Linked DNA regions of Cricetulus griseus. The protein of the gene in region 1 purifies or fractionates together with the protein of each later gene. This does not show direct contact. Links are inferred from orthologs where the notes say so. Each region holds a gene or a part of one and is shown on either strand. Other genes may lie near its edges.

Region 1 (4,561 bases):
CTTAGGAACCTCTACTCAGATAAAACTGGATCCTTGACTATGCTGCAGAAAATAATTTCAAGACAAGTCAGAGCAAAGCAAAGTTAGCAAGAATATTAAACAGAGATAAATAGCTCAGGCTTTGGATTTAAGTGCAGGCACTGAGCAAGAGAGACAGTCTTGGATGAAAGACAGTTCATCTGTAAGACATGAGTGCAAGCTGCTGAAAGCTAGGCTTACTTACTGTAAGAGGAGTTGTCGTCGTAACCCTGTGGCTCTCTAAATCCAGTTGCTCAAAGGACGTAATTGACAGCAACAGTTAAAGACTAAGTATAAACTGGGAGGTGGTGGCACATACCTTTAATCACAGCACTCAGGAGGCAGAGGCAGGCGGATCTCTGTGAGTTTGAGGCCAGCCTGGTCTACAAGAGCTAGTTCCAGGACATCCTCCAAAGCCTGTCTCGAACCCCCCCTTAAAAAAACAAAAACAAAAACAAAAAACCCAAAAAACAAGGTTTAAATTATTTTATATGTGAGGGGCTTTCAGACTGCCAAGTGAAGTATTAGAAGATGGGTGTATGCACAGCCCAAACCAAATCGAGTCCCTGACTGCCAAACTATTTTCTTTGCTTGTCTGCTTTAGCCACTTCCTACCCATCCTCAAATAGAAATTAAGTAAAAAATATATGAGCTTATTTGCTTTTCTTAATTCTGTAAATGAAACTTTATATATTACCTAGTCCCAATTTAAGGATGGGAGAGAAGTAATATAGTAAAACTCAGCGCTGTAAATCTTCTGGACTTTAGCAAACATACTTCATTTTGAGTTTTATTTTAGAGACAAGGTCTCACGTAGCTGGCCCCAAACTTGCTTAGTTGATAGTGACAAAAGGCTCATCCTCTCACCACCACCTCTCATCTAGCACACCCCACTACACAGCTTTGTTTTTAACGACCCTGTCTGTAGACTTTAGGAAAACACATATCTGCAGGCAGTTTTTTTTTTAAGATTTTATTTATTTATTATGTATACAACATTCTGCTTCCATGTATATCTGCACACCAGAAGAGGGTACCAGATCTCATAACGAATGGTTGTGAGCCACCATGTGGTTGCTGGAAATTGAATTCAGGACCTTTGGAAGAGCAGTCAGTGCTCTTAACCTCTGAGCCATCTCTCCAGCCCCCGAAGGCAGTTTTTTTTTTTTTTTTTTTTTAATCAGGTATGTTTAAGTTTCTTCCTATGAGCAGGGTAGCCCCAAGCCAGGCAGACACCGTAGACCGAGGGCCACAAGGCCTTGGGAAGTAGGCGGTGCTTTCCCCAAGCCAGGGACGGCAGGTAACCTGGAGAGAGAACTGCGGACAGGGTCAGGACGCAAAAATTAAGAGTTGCAAAAGACTCAACAGACAAAAAAAAATAACCCTAAGTCCTCCACGCGCCCCAGCAGCCCCTTTAAAAAGGCGCGGCACCGCGCGTGCGCCGGAATACACGTCACGACTCTATTTACATATAGCTCGCGGGCTTGAGAGCGGGGCCCGTGCACGCTTAACGGCTTTTGATTGGATGTCGCCTCTATCATCACCGAGGCGCAGTTGACAGACAGCTCTACTGCCAATTCACAGACCGTTTTGTTCGCAGAGGGCGGAGCCCGGCGACGCGGCCAGTGGCAGGTGGTTTTATTGGCGGCCACGGCGGCGCAGTCCCGGAGCGAGCTTTACACGGGAGCCAGTGCCGCAGGAGGCGCGAGGTGCGGTCCCGACGGGTAACGGCGTGGCGGGCGGCTGGTCAGGGGCCGGGGCCGGGGCGGCGGAGGTGGGGGTGGGTGGCGCGGGCGGGGCGACGCGCTATGGCGGCTAGCAGAGGCGGGCGGGGCCCCATCAGCCGTCCGGGTGGCGGCGGATGGCGGGCCCGTCCCTCCTCCGCGCCGCCCCGCCCCCGGCTGAAGGTCAGCGCGCTTTGTTCCCGCCGCCTGAGAGCGCACGCGAAGCCGCGCAGGCGGTTCCCTGAGGGGACAAGGCCTCCCCAGCGAGGTGGGCCTGGGTGCGCCTCGTTTTGAAACAGCGCTTGGGAAGGAAGGGGTCCACGGCGTTCGCGCGGTCTGGCCGCCGCCTCGCCCTTCCGGGCTTTGCATGGTCTCCGCACACCGCCCTGGTCCGACTCAACGAGCCTGCGGTGGAGGCGGAGCCAATTTAGTGACACACACACTGAGCCTTCCGACCCGACTGTGGGCCCCTCAAGGGTGCAGGGTCGCCAGCAGTACCCCTTCTTCCCAGGGGTATCCTTGGAGCAGTCGGCCTACGCTTCCTCCAGCTCTGCTTAGCTTTCTCGGAGGAATCCCTGTGGTAGTTTGCTGCTTGTACGCCGCTGTAACAGGCGTATGCAAATTCCCCAGCAAAAAGGCCCAAGTTGAAGTTCTTGGTCCTAAAAGTTGCATGCTTTTTAGTTACTGCCGCCTTCCTGTCATAGTAGCTGCCTCCTCTCGGTGACTAATCTCTGCTTACTACACACCAGGGCCTCCTTAAAGCTCCTGTCGTGTGTTTTAACTCCATTCACAATAATCTTGTGATATAGGTGCAACAGGCTGAGTATGCCTTAGCACGAAACGCCTGGTTTCAGAAGTTTATGGAATATGTAGGTTTAGCAGATTAGCGTTCCTAGTCTGGAAGTCCAAAATCTGGCATAAAACTCTAAAAGAAATGGGCTTTGGAGTGTCCTGAAATTTTAGCATAGGAATGTTCAGCCTGTACTGCAAATTAAAGCCCTGTTAAGTGTGATGGTTTGACTGTGATGGTCGCTTGAATTTAAACTCAAGTAGAATTAACCTGGCTCGGTTGCTATTGAAATAAACAGTGTGCAGATGAACAGTGAGATCCAAAGAAAAGAGTGGTAGGATTGGGATGTAGTCCAAAATGACAAAGGGATGGTTCACTTGTCGGGGGCTTTTGGCAGTTGCATCTTTTTTTGTTTGTTTGTTTGTTTTTGTTTTTTTCGAGACAGGGTTTCTCTGTATTGCTTTAGAGGTTGCCCTGGAACTTGCTCTGTAGACCAGGCTGGTCTCGAACTCACAGAGATCCTCCTGCCTTGCTTCCTGGGAGTGCTGGGATTAAAGGCTTGGGCCACCAACGCCCAGCCAGTTGCAGCATTTTAATGCCTTTGTCTAAAGTAGCTGCTGTCAAACGATGTTGGAGGCTTTTTTTTTTTTTCCCTCCTTGGAGACAGGGTTTCTTTGTAGCTTTTTGAAGCCTGTCTTGGCACCTGGCACTCACTCTGTAGACCTGGCTGGTCTGGAACTCACATAGATTTGTCTGCCTGGGCCTCCCAAGTACTGGGATTAAAGGCGTGGGCCACCACACCTGGCTAAGTTGACCAATATTATTGGTTCACAATGTCAAAACATTTAAACGTTTAAATTTTGATATGTTAGTGTTATTTTTTGTTTTCAAGACAGAGTTTTTCTTGTGTTACAGCCCTAGCTGTCCTGCAACTAGCTCTGTAGACCAGGCTGGTCTGGAAATCACACACATTCACCTGCTCTGACTCCCGGGTGCTGGGATTACAGGCATATGCCCCCACTGCCTGGCTGTATTATCTTTAAATCTTGAGCTGTTTTTCAAGTATGTATAATAACTGATTTTATTGTTTTTTGGATTATAACCTTGACCACCAAAATTCTGGAAAAGATGTATATATTCTGAGGTCTCAGAAAGTATGGCTATTATGGCTTGTGAGTTGGCTGTTTGGATTTCTGTAGTTGAGAAAATAGTTTACAAATTAGTATTTCTTACAGAGATGCAGTTCTTAGGGATGAAGTACTTCACGTCAGTCTGACTTTGTGCTTGAATCTTAAAATGTCCCAACTAAGGTAGGTGTGGTAGTACACATCTAAAGTCCCAGCTGCTCAGGACTGGAGAGATAGCTCAGAGGTTAAGAGCACTGGCTGCTCTTCCAGAGGTCCTGAGTTCAATTCCCAGCAACCATATGGTGGCTCACAACCATCCCTAATGAGATCTGGTGTGACTACAGAACACTGTATAAATAATAAATATATATTTTTTTGGTTTTCCGAAACAGCGTTTCTCTGTGACTTTGGAGACTGTCCTGGAACTAGCTCTTGTAGACCAGGCTGGTCCTGAACTCACAGAGATCCGCTTGCCTCTGCCTCCCGAGTGCTGGAATTCAAGATGTGTGCCACCACCTCCCAGCTAATAAATAAAATCTTAAAAAAAAAAAATCCCAGCTGCTCTGGGGCTCAGACTTCAAAGTCAGTCTTGGCAGCACTGCAAGATCCTGGCTCAGTTTTTTCCCCTCTTAGTTAAGTGAGAGCTAACTAAGAGCGAGTACTAACTCCCTGTTAACTGTCTTCATGCTGTGTAGTTTAAGGCCTGTGCAAAAGTTTGTGTTGTGCTTGTAAAAAAAAAAAAAAATTGCCAGAGTGCCTAAAATTTTTGTTTGGAAGAAAAAAAAAAAAGTCTGGGCAAGAGAGGGGCTGGATAGAGAGTGGTTTGAGTACCAGCACTCATAGGGTGGCTCCTAATGTTCTGTAACTCCAGTTCCAGGGATCCAATGCCCTCTTCTGGCCTC
Region 2 (4,592 bases), on another chromosome or scaffold:
GGGAAAGGGCAAATTAACAATAAACAGCCAAGAAAAATACTAGGTAGGTGATACGACCCAAGAGCATAAGTGAGGGTCCAAGAGTGAGTCTCCTAGTGGCACTTTACACCAGAGGTCTGAGGAAGGCCCCATACAGGTAGATCGGATCGAAAAAGAGAAGTCATGCCAGTGTTGCTGAGATCCATCTGTGTCATCTCACAGCTCACCTGTCTCCTCCCAAGTGCCTTTAGCCTCCTCTGCTTGGAAATACCCAGGGTCTTGGCTCACACCAATCATTTTTCCTGTCCCTCTACCCAGGAGTCTCTCTTGGGGTCCATCTCAAGGTGTGACCCTTGTCACTGTCTCTATAAAGACAAAGCCTCCACATCACTGCACTGGTTCCCACCTCATGCCCTGACCATAGAGCATTTTCGTGGAGCTGTGTCCTCCACCGCGTTGCGAAGGACTTAGTAACAAGCATCACGCATTAACTATTTCTACTTGTCTCCAAAGACCCGTGTTCAGATAGAAAACGTGGGACCCAACACATCCTGTTTGCACTAAAATCTTCCGAGATGGGCCAAGGCGTGGTGGCGCACGCATTAATCTCTACACGCGTGAGGCAGGCAGGTCGAGGCTAGCCTGGTCTACACAGTGAGCTCCAGGACAGCAAGAGCAAATAGTTAGGCCCTGTCTCAACATCCCCGACAAAATCTCCACAGGTGATCTATCAACCAATATCATCAGTTGGCGGAACCCTGACTATGCAGAAAATTAGGTTTTAGATGCCCAGGAGGTACCCTAGAAGGGCTCCAGTATGCCACGCCTGGAACCCAAAGTCCCACACACAGGTCTAATCCACTCACGGCAACTCTGTCCTTCAGGCCATTGAGGGAAACCGTGAGTGGCCACAGGCCGGCAAAAAACTCCTCCAGCACACACCAGGAAGTCACCTCTCCGAGACCGTCCCCATCAGGAGTTAAATCTACCGCGCGAGGTTGGACATTAAGCGAGCTGTTTGAGCACTGCACACAGGCGCGCACACACGCACGCAACTGCCTTTATTGGGAGCTGTCTCTCAGGAGAACAGCGGCCCGCGGCGCAACACTAGAGCCCCGGGATGTTCTCGGCTCTGCCGAGGGCAGGCCGAGGGCCGCGAGCTGGCCCCAGTGGGCTCTAGGCCCTCAACTTCCGGCGCTCTCCGGCTCCTCAGCGGGAACGCGCGGCGAGCACTTGAGGCCGCCGCGGAGTCCACGGTGGGGCGCAGCTTCCGCAGCGCGGGGGATGCTCGGGCCACCCACCACCCCCCACCCCCCCGGCCACGCGAGCCCGGAGCTCCAGGTAGCAGTCGAGCACTAGGAGGCGTCCGGGCCACGCCGCCATCCCCGAGCCCCTTCCACAAGCCGCGCCAAACGGGCGCGTTGCACCGCGCAGGCGCGGCGAAGGCGAGCCGCTAGGGCTCGCCGAGAAGACGCGCACACCAGCCAGTCAACGTCCGCCTTGCGTAGAGCTAGGCCCGCCCCCAGGGCGCTGCCGTCAGGCCCCGCCCCCGGCGGACCCGCCCCCACGCCGTAGCCCCGCCCCCACGCCGTCCTGGGTTGAAGGCTCGCGGTTGGCCAGGGGGACGGACGCGCGCTCTGGTTGGTGGAGGAGGGGTCACGAGGACGCCGTCGTCGCCTTTCCAGAGGCGATTACTGGGCAGGCTCAGTCTTTTGCCTCAGACGCTAGCTGTAGCTGGCAGTCGCTCGTACGTGCTCCAGAGTCCACCGTGCCCGTCGCTGCCGCCCAGCTCGCGTGGGTTCCCCGAGGCTCTCCCGAGCTGCGCCCTTCGCCGCACGCGCCGTCGTCGCAACCCGCCACCATGGTGAAACTCGCAAAGGTGAGAGGCCTCGCGCGCGCCGACGCGGACGGACGCCTGGGCCTGCTTTCTGAGGGGCGCGCGCGCGCGCGTCGCTCAGGGGAGGAGGGCCTGCGCGCAATCCCGGGCGCGTTCGAGGGCGCCATGCTGGGGAAAGTCTCGCGCGACTAGCGGGAGGTCTCGCGGTGTTTGGCCCCTGACTTGGTGGTGGGGGAGAGCCGAGGCGGGTCCCGGGAGGTGTGTGTGTGTGTGAGCGCGCGCGCGCGCGTGTGTGTGTGTGTGTGTAGGGCGGTGAGATCGGAGCCGCCGCGAGGGGAGAAGGGGCGACAGGCCCGCCGAGGGGAGATGGGACCCAACTCGTGGGCCGGCGCCGGCGTGGCCCCGCCTCCTGGCGCACGTGCTCCGGTGCGCGGCCCGCCACGTGGGTTTTGGCGCTCTGCGTGTGTTGCCCGTCTCGGGCTCGGGGAGTCGCGGGGTACCGGGGAGGGGGACAGCGGGACTGAGCTAGGTGGGTTCCCCGGCGATCCCCAGCGCCTGTCCGTGACGGGCAGGCCAGCACGTGGTGGACACCTGAGGGAGCGCGTGGTGGCCTGCGTGGTACCTCCACGTGGCCCGCCTCCAGAGTGGCGACGTCGGAAGTGGTTCTGTGAAAGACGTGCTCCTCTCCAGAAGGGGCTACCCAAATAGATACCCCTGCCCCGGCAGATGATTTAGAGTGAAATTCAAAGGGCAATGAATGACTAGTAGATTGTCTTCAGTTGTCTCTGGAAGGGAAAGACAAGTTATATAGGTGATTCTCAGGAAAGATTGCCACATATAATAATGCCAATGATGTCACCTGTGCTTAGGGCCTTTAACAATATAGACAGTGGGCATTAAGAAAGAAGATAATGGCGAAACGCAAAATGGCTTACAAATAGGGTATCGACATGATTTTGTGTGCACTTGTGTAGGCCGGCAAAACCCACGGCGATTCTAAGAAAATGGCTCCTCCTCCAAAAGAGGTGGAAGAAGATAGTGAAGACGAAGAAATGTCCGAAGATGAAGAAGATGACAGCAGTGGAGAAGAGGTATACAGCTAATAGGGCAGCGGTGCCCTCCCTTTAATTCCAGCAAGAGGGACGTAGAAGGCAGGCAGTTTTAGTGAGTTCAAAGCCAGCCTGGTCTACAGAGGGAGTTCGGGGACAGCCAAGGCTACACAAGAAACCCTGTCTCAAAAACCAAAAAGAAAAAAAAAGATGTAGAAATAGAATGTGTGTTAATAAAAGTATTCTAAAGCCGGGCGGTTGTGGTGCACGCCTTTGATTCCAGCATTCAGGAGGCAGAGGCAGGCGGATCTTTGTGAGTTCAAAGCCGCACATGGTCTACTTAATGAGTTCCAGGACAGCCTCCAAAGCTACAGAGAAACCCTGTCTCCAAAAACCAAAAAAAAAAATACAGTAGTATGATAACAATAGTTGAGTGACAAGTTCTTTATTGCTATTGAGTAGTTAAATAAGAGTATTACAGTCCACTTGAGAGGGATGTAAATTTCACTCAGGTTTCACATGCTGTATTGAATATTGATTGTAGGCTGTTATTTTTCCCTACATTTTTGGAAAACAGGGTTTAATCCAGTTTGATTTGTTTTCATTCAGATCATGGTCACGTGATTTCATGGTGTTTGGTGAGAAGGACATTACGACTAGAAATTCCCGGGTGTTTTTTTTTGTTTGTTTGTTTGTTTTTTGAATCAGGATCTCAACATGACCCTTGTGGTCTTAGAACTCAACATGTAGACCAGTCTGGCCAAAAATTCTCCTGAATAAAGGCATTAGTCATTGCATGAAGCTAGTTAAGAAACTTAGGGCTTTGATTTAGATGAGAATTGGAGTCAGGGTCTCAATAGTTCAGGAATCACTATATTTATTTTACTCCTATTCCCGTCATGCATGTTTTGTTTTTTAGTGCTGATCCCTATCACTAAAGTAAGCTTTAGCCTATTATATAAGCTTTTATAGAGCAAGTCAGTTTTTAAAATACATCAGATATGGATTGAAGGCTGCTACTTACCAGTTTGCTGAATCTGGTACTTATTAGCACTCCTACTTGTTGGTTCATTTAAAGACATGGTTAATTAATTTCAGGAGGCAGAAGTAGGGATAGTCTTGGAAATCAGGTAAGCTGGGGGTATGTAATCATTATGCTCAGATTTCTTGTTTAGAAGAGCTATATTAGTAATAAGCAAAATTTGGGTTTTGGTGGAACATTTTTCAATGAAAATAAAATGCATACTTGTTATAACTCTGCTTAAGGCTGATGTGTAGGGGTGGAGTTGGAGACCAGTTTCATTTATGAGTGTTTCTTAAACTTGGGTATTTGTGTGATAAGCACCTGCAGTTGTAAGCCATGTATTCTGATTCCAGGGTTTAGGATTTAGTGTGTTGGAGTTAGGGTTAGAGTGTTTATCTGTATTTGTATGAGTGTACTACTAAGCATGCCTGGTGCACTTAGGCTAGAAGAAAACTCTTAGGTTCCCTGGAACTATAGTTAGAGCCATCATGTGGATGCTGAGAACTGACCGTTGGTCCTCTGCTAGAGTAACAAGGGCTCTTAACTGCTGAACCGTCTCTCTAGCCCTTTCACCCCAGGGTTTAACATATACCTAATTCCAGTGTTGAGCTCAAAGTTAGTATCAGTATGTTAATAACATTGGATATACGGAAAGTGCTTATTATTTGTTTTACTTTTAAGGTTGTCATCCCTCAGAAAAAAG

Evidence for each region.
Region 2: the proteins of Nap1l4 (region 1) and Ncl fractionate together in Homo sapiens (co-fractionation; 3 studies listed by BioGRID). This does not show direct contact. The link is inferred for Cricetulus griseus from reciprocal best matches to the Homo sapiens genes NAP1L4 and NCL.

Annotation. Positions count from the first base shown.
Region 1 is NC_048596.1:57,824,814-57,829,374, forward strand, and holds the start of Nap1l4 (nucleosome assembly protein 1-like 4), read left to right. Parts: upstream 1-1,604; 5' UTR 1,605-1,727; intron 1,728-4,561. UniProt on the Homo sapiens protein: Acts as a histone chaperone in nucleosome assembly.
Region 2 is NC_048595.1:438,027,296-438,031,887, reverse strand, and holds the start of Ncl (nucleolin), read left to right. Parts: upstream 1-1,678; 5' UTR 1,679-1,840; coding exon 1,841-1,858; intron 1,859-2,790; coding exon 2,791-2,907; intron 2,908-4,570; coding exon 4,571-4,592. UniProt on the Homo sapiens protein: Nucleolin is the major nucleolar protein of growing eukaryotic cells. It is found associated with intranucleolar chromatin and pre-ribosomal particles. It induces chromatin decondensation by binding to histone H1.